Caenorhabditis elegans: one gene and its partner. The protein of the gene in region 1 interacts with the protein of each later gene in a pairwise test. Each region holds a gene or a part of one and is shown on either strand. Other genes may lie near its edges.

Region 1 (4,400 bases):
GGTTTGGTGGAGAAAAAAGTGACAATTTTCGAAAAAAATTAAAATTTCTGAAAAGTTTCCAGGGTAATTATGGTTCAATTAAAAAGCAAAAAAATTATGTAAAACCCTCAAAAAAATGTTCTAAATACTTGTTTCCCGTTCTGAAAATTTTGTATAAAAAAGGCCAAAAGTTAAACCATGTATGGGAACCGAACCCACAAACTTCTGCTCAAGAGGCGAACGCGTTCACCACTCGACCACCGAACCGATGTTTTCGCCCTTCCACCATTGTGGTGAGACTTCTGTTGGCGCCAGAGACAAAAATCCACTGTTAACCATAGGAAATGCACTGATTTCAGTGTAGAATTTCAGACGTAAAAATTTCAGATTTCCAGCCCGAACGGGCAAAAATTTCAGTCATATTCTTATAGTAGAGAATGTCAGCTTTCCGATACAATATTTTTTTTTGAATATCGCTCCATTTATTCTGGTCATTCCCTAGTCAGTGCGGTTAGCATTTCTGCTTTCCAAAATTTCGTTCCCTCGTTCCTTCTTCTGTTTGTCTCGTTGTCTGTGTCCTACAATCTTTATGTTTCCATGTTCCGCGCAGCAGACGTGGCGACCTCTTATTTTCCACTTTTTCATTGATTTATCTCGTCGTTTTCAGAAACCGAGGCAAAATGGTCGTCAACGTGTTCATCTCGGCTGTGACCACTGACACGCTGAGCCGGAAGGAAGCAGTTGCTTGGGTCAATAACCTACTCAAGGTTTGAATTTGCGGGAAATGTTCAAATTATTTAATATTTCAAATTTCAGAGTCACTTCACCAAAGTGGAAGAGATGGCGTCTGGAGCCGCGTACTGTCAGCTCACTCATCTCTTGTTCAACGCCATCAACCTGAAGAAGGTCAAATTCAACCCACGGAGCGAGCCCGATGTTCTGAACAATTGGAAGGTGCTCACAACGACCTGGAAGGATCTCGGCATTGACAAGCCGGTCGATGTCGAGAAAATGAAGAAGGCCAAGTTCCAGGACAACATGGAGTTTTTGCAATGGTTCTACAAGGTACGTTCTTTTTGTGAGAGGCATAATAACTTTTTAATAACTTTTTTTTTGCAGTTCTACAATGCGAACCTGACCACGGAGCCAGAAGAATATGATGCAGTTGGTGCTCGATTCGGAGAGGACTTGCCCGCTCTGAAAGGATCCACAGGCTCTCGTCCAGTTGCTGCTCCTGCTAGACCGGTGGCTGCCGCTCCGCCAAAGCCAAGGCCTGCTGCGCCAGCGGTTGCGGCTCCAGCTGTGAAAGCATCAGTTCCACCGACAGTTCGCAACGGCACCCGGCCCGCTCCAGCGACATCAGCCGGAACTCGACGCGCTGACCCATCTGCAAGCGAAGAACTTCTCAAACAAGGTTTGAGATTCCGTGATAATTGTACTATTATTAAATTTTTGTTTTTAGAAATCGAGAAACACAAGGCCGCCAGTGATGAATGGGAGACGACGGCCAAGGAAATGGAGACAGAACGAGAATACTACTACTCAATTCTTCAGCGTGTCGAAAGTCTTGCCAACGAAGCAGAGGAGAGTGGTTCCAGTACGGTCGACGTGGCGGCTCTGAAGACGATTCTCTACGCCGGAAACGAGGACACTGAGCAGGTCGATGAAATCGAAAACGAACATCTTGTCGAGTCTCTGCAGGCAAATCTGGACGATACGGAGACTTTCTAAATATTGTTGTTTCCCATTGCTTATCCTATCCCCGTATACTCACGATTCCCATCAATTTCTGCTCGTTTTAAGAGCACACTCCCCCCGCTTCAATGTGCCATCGATTTCCACATTAATTTATTATCAGCAATCACTTCATATTTTCTGTAAAATAAGCATATTCGGCGAATATTTTTTATTTATTTCAAGCCTTGGAAATAAACAAGGAATCGCAATTTTTATATCTTTGTATGAAAACATAATTGTCAGACACAACATTGATATCTCTGAAACAAGCCGACTCCACAACGTTGCTCCGCCATAACGTTAATTATCGATTAGCTACTTTGAGATATTTTTTTCTTAAATAAGTATCCAGAAAAATATATTTCAGAGAACACAATGAGCTTCGCCAGTGGATGTACGCCGGTCTCATTCGACAAGCTTTTCGAAGTTTCCAGTGGAGACAAAGTTAGCAGAGGTTTAAAACTTGAGGAAAAAACAGTAGAATAATTAATTTCTATTGCAGAAAATTGGGGAATGATTGCTCGTCCTGAACCTCAACACGATTCTCTTAAGCGACGAAATACGACATCATCAATCGCAAAAAAGAAGGCAAAAATGACACGTGGCGATGAGCAAAGTATAAAATTTCAAATAATTCTTCAATTTCTCAACAAATAAATTTTTAGTCACTGACGAGACGGCGAGAAAAGCAGCAACACAACTTCTCGATCAAATTCAAGATACTCCCGGCAGAATTTCTTTAAACTTTGAAACGTAAGAATTAAGGATTAAATTTGAATTATTCTTTTTAAAAAATTATTAATTTTTCAGTCCCGAAGCTGCAAGCGTGTGTCCGATCCCAACGAGTTTGAATCAGATTGTTAACACGAAATGGACAGTAAATCAACTTCAAGAAGGACAGTTGACAATGCTCTTAGCTCAAGACGCCAATAAGTTCAAGTCCTTGGGTGTCAAGAATATTAAGAAGGGAAGCGTCGAGACGCAGGTAAAGACTTATTCGCTCTAGGCTTTAATAAAACGACAATTTACAGATTCTTCCTCGACAGATGGACGTGAAGGAAATAGTGGAAAAGCTGAAGAAACAGGACAATGACAGTGATCAGTTTGTTGGCTACGCGGCCGCAGTCGCCAATGTTCTTAGAAGATGCGATGCTGAAACAGCGTATGTTAAAAATTCGCTGTTCTGAATATTCAACATTTATTTTTTATTTTCAGACAAAAAATCACACAAGCGATCACGGCTACAATCGAGAAAGAGGCTCCAAGTATTGTTAATTGTTAATATATCATTAATTGTAATAAATATATTATTTCTTTGAAAACAAATTTCAAAGCAGTCCATATTCCTGCACTATTTGTTTTCAGAAAATACGAGGAAATTCAAAAATTGAAACAGCTGATAGCCTATCCCTTTCTCTATTTGGTCATATCATGTTTATCATCTATTACACCTTTTCTTTATTACACTGAAATACATCTCATTTTCCACCTATCACACATTCAATATATTTGAAATGCTAAAATATTATTCGATATTTCTTATTTCCCTAGTTGCAATTATAGGTTAGTAATCTATTTTCGGCTGGGAGTTCAGTTCACGAGAAAGTTTTTAGAAAGTCTTCCATATGATCCATTTCCATATGGATTAGATGATCGTCCAGATCCTTTTTCGAGTAATGCTGGATTGTAAGTTATTTTTTTTGGAGAATAGTCAGAAATTTAACAGGGAGAATGCGTATTACGCAAAATTTTTTTAATATCTCCTAGCGAAAATACAGTAACTCTTTAAATGACTAGTGTAGTGCTTGTGCCGATTCACGGAAATCATTTATTTATCGATAAAATTGTTTCAAAGACACAAAAATGGCAAAAAATATTTTTTAAATAACGAACGAAAATTGAATATCGCTGTCACAATTCGAAAATAAATTAGTTTTGAAAATCGATCCTGTAAATCGACACCAGCGCTACAGTAGCCATTTAAACAGTTACTGTAGTTTTCGCTACGAGATATTTTGCGCGTCGAATATGTTGCACAATAAATTCTCAAACTTTTGTGTTTCCGTAATAAATAAATTAGTTATTTATCGTAGTGCCATAAAAATTTGACGATTCTCTTTAAAGGCACACGTTGGTTTTCTGAGTGAGTCTCGCCACGAACTGTGATTGTGGTACAAGCTTGAAATTTCACATACTTGCTATCAATTTCCATATCCCTATCTTTACAGATAAGGATTCACCATAAACCATTTCTTCTGTCTAAAATTTCTGCAAAAACTGTACACTTCTCCTCGGGGAGTACACTAGTGCCGTAAATCGACACAAAGCAGGGTTCAATTTTCTTGAAAAACAAATTAATAATTATAGTTCAGAACACACCATGAACACTCTCAAAAACGGAGTCATCGCCACCGTCATCTTCCACACGATTACGGTGAGCACAATGCGTGGGGATTCGAGAAGCAGGCAGAAGGCGAGGAAAAACGAGAAGAGCCGAAAGAAACAAGTCAGCAACAAATGGAACGAATCGCCTCACAACCGAGAACTGCTCCGAGACTGCCAACGAGTACAGTGGATCCGGCGGAAGATCTGAAATCGGCGATTCGGGATGCTCAACTGGGAATCACTACGACAGATTTGCCACCAGATTCAAGGCATAATGGTTTATTGAAGGATATTGGGTC
Region 2 (5,567 bases), on another chromosome or scaffold:
AAAGGTTTAAAAATTTTTTAATAGCGACCAAAAATTGATATCCCTAAAGGTTAATTTTGGCGATTTGCAGGCGTTGAAGGTTTACAGGAAATTCCCTAGAGGTATCAAGGGTGACATTGGAACGGCAGGGAAGGAATCCAGCGAGCCAACAAGAACAAGTTTTCAAGTTTCGGATAAGACCTGGATAAGGAAAGGATAACTAACGGAGTGGAGAAAACCGCGGTCGGCCACGAGTCGCGAGATTACTTCATAACAGACTACAGGTAGTTCTTTTTCGGGGTCTTTTAAATGGGAAACGGCCATAATCCCCAAACTATAAACTATCCTAATTAACATAATTTGTTTTCAGATCAGTTCGCCATTTTTAGGTATTCAGGAGACATAACGGAGAGCGGCAGTGAAAGATCTCGCGGGCTCTTGTCAAGGATTTAGGGAAATTTCGGATTGTTCGCACGTGGGTGGAACGCGAAAACAGAGGGTTGAGAAGCGACGATCCTTGTTTGGGCAGCAGACGAGCTTCAAGTATCAGATCTACAGGAGTTGCCAGGATTATCGATTCACGTTGGTTTACCATTTTACCTCTTTTGCCACCTTAACCAATAATAAGTACTTTCGGTCCGTCCTTTTTCGTTTTTGCAGCACGTACTTCAGCACAGTCGGCTCCATCAGCAACACCAGCAGCTCCTGCACAGTCAACATCATGTCGGCAACATCGAACGATCGGGCTCTTCACGACGGCGTCAGCACATTAAATTTCCCCAATTTATACCGTTCGTGGCCCTCATATCGTTCAAGTTGGGCGCCTGGCGCCCAACTGCCCCTAATTTTCTACTTTTGTCACGACCTGTACCACACGCAAAGCCCATAAATTCTGTAACTCAATTTCCTCCTTTTCTCGTACCTCATTTCTCTCGAACGGAGCTAGGAACAAGGGAAAACCTTTTCTCGGGGGAGCGCAGCGACCCGAGAATATATATTTATGAGAAGTAAATTGAGAAACAAATATTCGGAAGCAAACTTGAGAACAGTTTTCCTAATTTCTCAAGAAACAAAGCATTAAAGTAAAATTATTGTGACAATAAGCGTGCTTAGAAACACTAAACGATAAAATTATGTTATTTGACAAATATTTAAACATAATAACAATATAAAATATATAAATTGAAAGGCTAAAAGTATTTAAATAGATATTTGGGAATTAAACTTTGTTGGAACGCAGAAGTTGCGCCCTTGGTTCATCGTTGGCGCGTTTCTCGTGCACCTGCAGGACATGTTTGCGTCTTTCTCGCTTTTTTAATATTTTTTCGTGTTCAATTTTATATTTATCAATGTTTTTCTATTATAAACACTTCATTCCAATTAAATTAAATGTAGTCTATCAATAATACGTTTTTCAGTAACTTAACCACGCTGTCAAAATGGCGATGAAAAGTGTGGCAGTGCTCACAAAAGGCATGTTTGGAAGAATTCCGGCTCAAGTGAGATTTTCTCATTCAAATATACGTTTCAAATAATCAATTATTTAGCTTGCCGTCAGCAGTGTTCCTTCCAACACAATTCAAAAGAGATCCAACTACAAATTCGTTGGTATGCCCAATGAAACCGATGGAACACTGGCTGGAGATTTGAATTACGGGCTTCACAATGTTTTCTTCACCGAACTTTTCAGAGGTAATTTTAAACTAAATTTGAATCAAAATTATTTTGAAGTATACTGTGTGAAGGAAAAATGTCAATTTTTCAGGTTTCGGAGTGATGCTTGGTCACGTATTCATGGAGCCAGCTACTATCAACTATCCCTTCGAAAAGGGACCACTCAGTTCAAGATTCAGGTACAGAAATTAAAAATTGAAATTAAATCATAAAGCATTTGTTATAATCAGCTTGGAAGAAAATAAGCATATTTTGGTTGTATTTTAATAGTTTTCAAAAAACTGAACAAACTTGCACCTTCACACGACACATATTCGAAAATTCTTTAATTAAAAATATTAATTATTTAGTTAATTTAAAAAAAAACAAAAATTATTAACAAAAAAATCAGTATTTTAGAGGAGAACACGCTCTTCGTCGATACCCGTCTGGTGAAGAAAGATGCATTGCTTGCAAGCTTTGCGAAGCCATTTGCCCAGCTCAAGCTATCACGATCGAGGCCGAAACAAGACCTGACGGAAGTCGCCGTACCACTAGATACGATATCGATATGACCAAGTGCATCTATTGTGGATTATGCCAGGAAGCTTGCCCAGTCGATGCAATTGTCGAGGGCCCGAACTTCGAATATTCGACTGAAACTCACGAAGAACTCCTCTATAATAAGGAGAAGCTCTTGTTGAATGGTGATCGCTGGGAGCCTGAGCTCGCTTCCAATCTTCAAGCCGAATATCTTTATCGTTAAGATAATACGAATTGTGGGAAATGAGAAGAGAACATTTTAAAATACCTGATTTTTTCGTAGCTTTTTCGCTTTTCCGTTTTCTGTTGTCAGATGATTTATTTTTAATTTTGAGGTTTTAGTATTTGTTCCCCTTTTCTGATAACTTCCGAATTGTAGATGAAAAACAAAATATGTTATATACTTTTATGTTTTCTCTATGTTTTTCTTAAATATCGTTCACTAGTCGATGTTGCTCTATTGTTTTTTCGATATCTCAAGGTAAAACTGTTACACATTTCCTCATGTGGACTTTTTGTTCCAAAAATTATTCGTAATTCAGATGTCCGTCGAAGAAGGTATGGAAGTTGAGTTAAAGTCAGAGAAAATGGATTTGGATGACAATATTCCCGACTTTGTGAAGGAAACTGTGGAAAGAAGCGGAAAGAATCCAATGTCATTATTCTCAGAGCTTTATGTTCATATGACAGGCAACACTCCAGTTTTTGATTTCTATAACAGAAACCAACCGAACGGATCCATGAAATTTATATGTGTTGTAATTTTAAATGGAGAACGAATCGAGGGAAATGTAAAATCCAAAAAGAAAGAGGCAAAGGTGTCGTGCTCATTGAAAGGACTGGAAGTCGTGCTCAAGCATGTTAGCGAATACGTTGTGCCTGCTGTCAAATTTGAGGAGAAAACCACATTTTTCGAGATGCTCAGAGAACATACATACGCGAAATTTTATGAGTCAGTGGAAAAAATAATTCATAGTGAATGTATCCCTTTTATTATCATTTTAGACTTTGTAAGAACAACGCCTTAATCTATGGATTCGAAAAAGTGATCGCTTCTGTTTTCCTGAAAATCAATGGAAACCTCCAAATCATTGCTCTCTCCACTGGAAACAAGGGATTACGCGGAGACAAAATTGTAAACGATGGAACAGCTCTCATAGATTGTCATGCTGAAATTCTCGCAAGAAGAGGCCTTCTGAGATTTTTGTATTCCGAAGTTCTAAAGTTCTCTACAGAGCCACCCAATTCAATTTTTACAAAAGGAAAGAACGCATTGGTGCTGAAGCCAGGAATTTCTTTCCATTTATTCATAAACACCGCACCATGTGGAGTTGCGAGAATAGATGTAACTTTTCAAGTATTAATTTTTGTAAATTCTTCATTTGAATTATTTTCAGAAAAAGCTAAAACCCGGAACATCAGATGACCTTCAAAATTCTTCTCGTCTTCGATTCAAAATTGATAAAGGTATGGGCACAGTGCTCGGTGGTGCTTCTGAGTTTGAAGCTCCACAAACATTTGATGGAATCATGATGGGAGAACGAATGAGGACAATGTCTTGCTCTGATAAATTGCTTCGAGCAAATGTACTGGGTGTCCAAGGAGCAATATTATCACATTTCATCGATCCAGTTAGTTTAACCTGATTAGTATAACATGAGATCTTGATTTTCAGATCTATTACTCGTCAATCGCCGTTGCCGAGTTGAACAATGCAGATCGTCTCCGTAAAGCAGTTTACAGCAGAGCAGCCACCTTCAAACCTCCAGCTCCATTCCATGTTCAAGACGTGGAAATCGGAGAGTGTCAAGTGGAAGATACTGAGCAATCAACTTCTGCAGCAGCACGATCCACGATTAGTTCGATGAATTGGAACTTGGCTGATGGAAATACAGAAGTTGTACGAACATCGGATGGAATGGTTCATGATAAGGATATGAGCGGGGCTGACATCACGACTCCATCCAGATTGTGTAAAAAAAATATGGCAGAACTGATGATTACTGTAAGCTGGGGGAAAATAAAAATAATTTTCTTGATGTTTTGAGTGTGAAACTCAACAATTCCTTCTATTTCAGATCTGCACGTTGACAAAGACTTCTGTGGATTATCCAATCTCATACGAAGAACTCAAAGCTGGATCTCAAGAATACGCTGCTGCAAAAAAGTCGTTCATTACCTGGCTGCGACAGAAGGATCTCGGAATTTGGCAACGAAAGCCACGAGAATTTCAAATGTTTACTATAAATTAATCAATGCAATTTTACCTTTATTGTATCAAAAGTTCAATGTGGTTCCACTTTTAAAAATCTCATGCAGCATCGTGTATTCATTCCATTTTAGCTGTTAACTCTTAATTTCTGCATTAATTAATTGTTAATCTTTTATTTTTTGGACTTACAATTTTCAGTGATTCGAGTTACTTATCTCGGAGTTGAATATTATTTAAGGAAACGAAAACTGGAATAAATATGTTTTTATAGAAATTTCCAGATGCCTGCATCAGTGACCCATGTGATTTTCGATTTTGACGGTCTTCTCGTCGACACAGAATCTGCATACACGGAAGCGAATATGGAGCTTTTGAGAAAATATGGACACGTTTTCACAATGGATTTGAAGAGAAGTGAGAAGAAATATCAGAAATATTTTTATTTTAATATAAATTTCAGGGCAAATGGGAAAACGCCATGATGAATCGATCCGATGGCTAATCAACGAACTGAAAATCGGCGATCTTGTGACACCGGAAGAGTATTCACGTCAATACGATGAACTTCTCATCGAAATGTTCAAAAGGAGTCCTGCGATGCCTGGAGCTGAGAAACTGGTTCGTCACCTTCTTCATACCGGAGTTCCAGTTGCATTGTGTACTGGATCGTGTAGTCGCACATTTCCAACGAAATTGGATAACCACAAAGATTGGGTGAACATGATCAAGTTGCAAGTTTTATCGGGAGATGATCCTGAAGTGAAACACGGAAAACCACACCCAGATCCATTTTTGGTGACTATGAAACGATTCCCACAAGTTCCAGAATCGGCGGACAAAGTTCTTGTATTTGAAGATTCGTACAATGGTGTCTTGTCGGCACTCGATGCTGGAATGCAATGTGTGATGGTTCCAGAACGATCGATTTTCGACCCCGATTCAGACCCAGAATTCAAAAATCGTGTGACTGTGATTTTGAATAGTTTGGAACAGTTTAAGCCAGAGGACTTCGGATTGCCCCCATATTAAATATATCATATTTTTCTTTCAAAAAACTGATGGTTTACTTCTATCTGTATTCGATCGTACTTTGTGATATTCACATAACCATTTTATATTTCTAGTTGTTTTTTTTTGAATATATTTTTGCAACAGTTTATTTCACATTGACTCTTTCATC

The links. Proteins that work in one complex are often made in the same cells at the same time.
Region 2: the proteins of adbp-1 (region 1) and adr-2 interact in a two-hybrid assay, tested with the Caenorhabditis elegans proteins (2 studies listed by BioGRID).

The regions. Positions count from the first base shown.
Region 1 is NC_003280.10:11,442,079-11,446,478, forward strand, and holds adbp-1 (Adr-2-binding protein 1), read left to right. Parts: upstream 1-2,083; 5' UTR 2,084-2,091; coding exon 2,092-2,170; intron 2,171-2,218; coding exon 2,219-2,332; intron 2,333-2,381; coding exon 2,382-2,469; intron 2,470-2,526; coding exon 2,527-2,701; intron 2,702-2,747; coding exon 2,748-2,878; intron 2,879-2,931; coding exon 2,932-2,998; 3' UTR 2,999-3,028; downstream 3,029-4,400. Other genes in the region: ebp-2 (Calponin homology domain-containing protein), read left to right, coding at 660-746, 796-1,044, 1,099-1,393, 1,442-1,710; W02B12.13 (uncharacterized protein), read left to right, coding at 3,231-3,279, 3,330-3,402, 4,089-4,400. UniProt on the Caenorhabditis elegans protein: Required for the A-I editing activity of the double-stranded RNA-specific adenosine deaminase adr-2 by facilitating adr-2 nuclear localization.
Region 2 is NC_003281.10:7,230,033-7,235,599, reverse strand, and holds adr-2 (Double-stranded RNA-specific adenosine deaminase adr-2), read left to right. Parts: upstream 1-2,717; coding exon 2,718-3,127; intron 3,128-3,180; coding exon 3,181-3,520; intron 3,521-3,572; coding exon 3,573-3,806; intron 3,807-3,850; coding exon 3,851-4,180; intron 4,181-4,253; coding exon 4,254-4,427; 3' UTR 4,428-4,561; downstream 4,562-5,567. Other genes in the region: ndus-8 (putative NADH dehydrogenase [ubiquinone] iron-sulfur protein 8, mitochondrial), read left to right, coding at 1,419-1,478, 1,527-1,671, 1,745-1,832, 2,053-2,398; R151.10 (uncharacterized protein), read left to right, coding at 4,669-4,801, 4,848-5,416. UniProt on the Caenorhabditis elegans protein: Catalyzes the hydrolytic deamination of adenosine to inosine in double-stranded RNA (dsRNA) referred to as A-to-I RNA editing. Acts primarily on non-coding regions of protein-coding genes including introns and untranslated regions (UTR).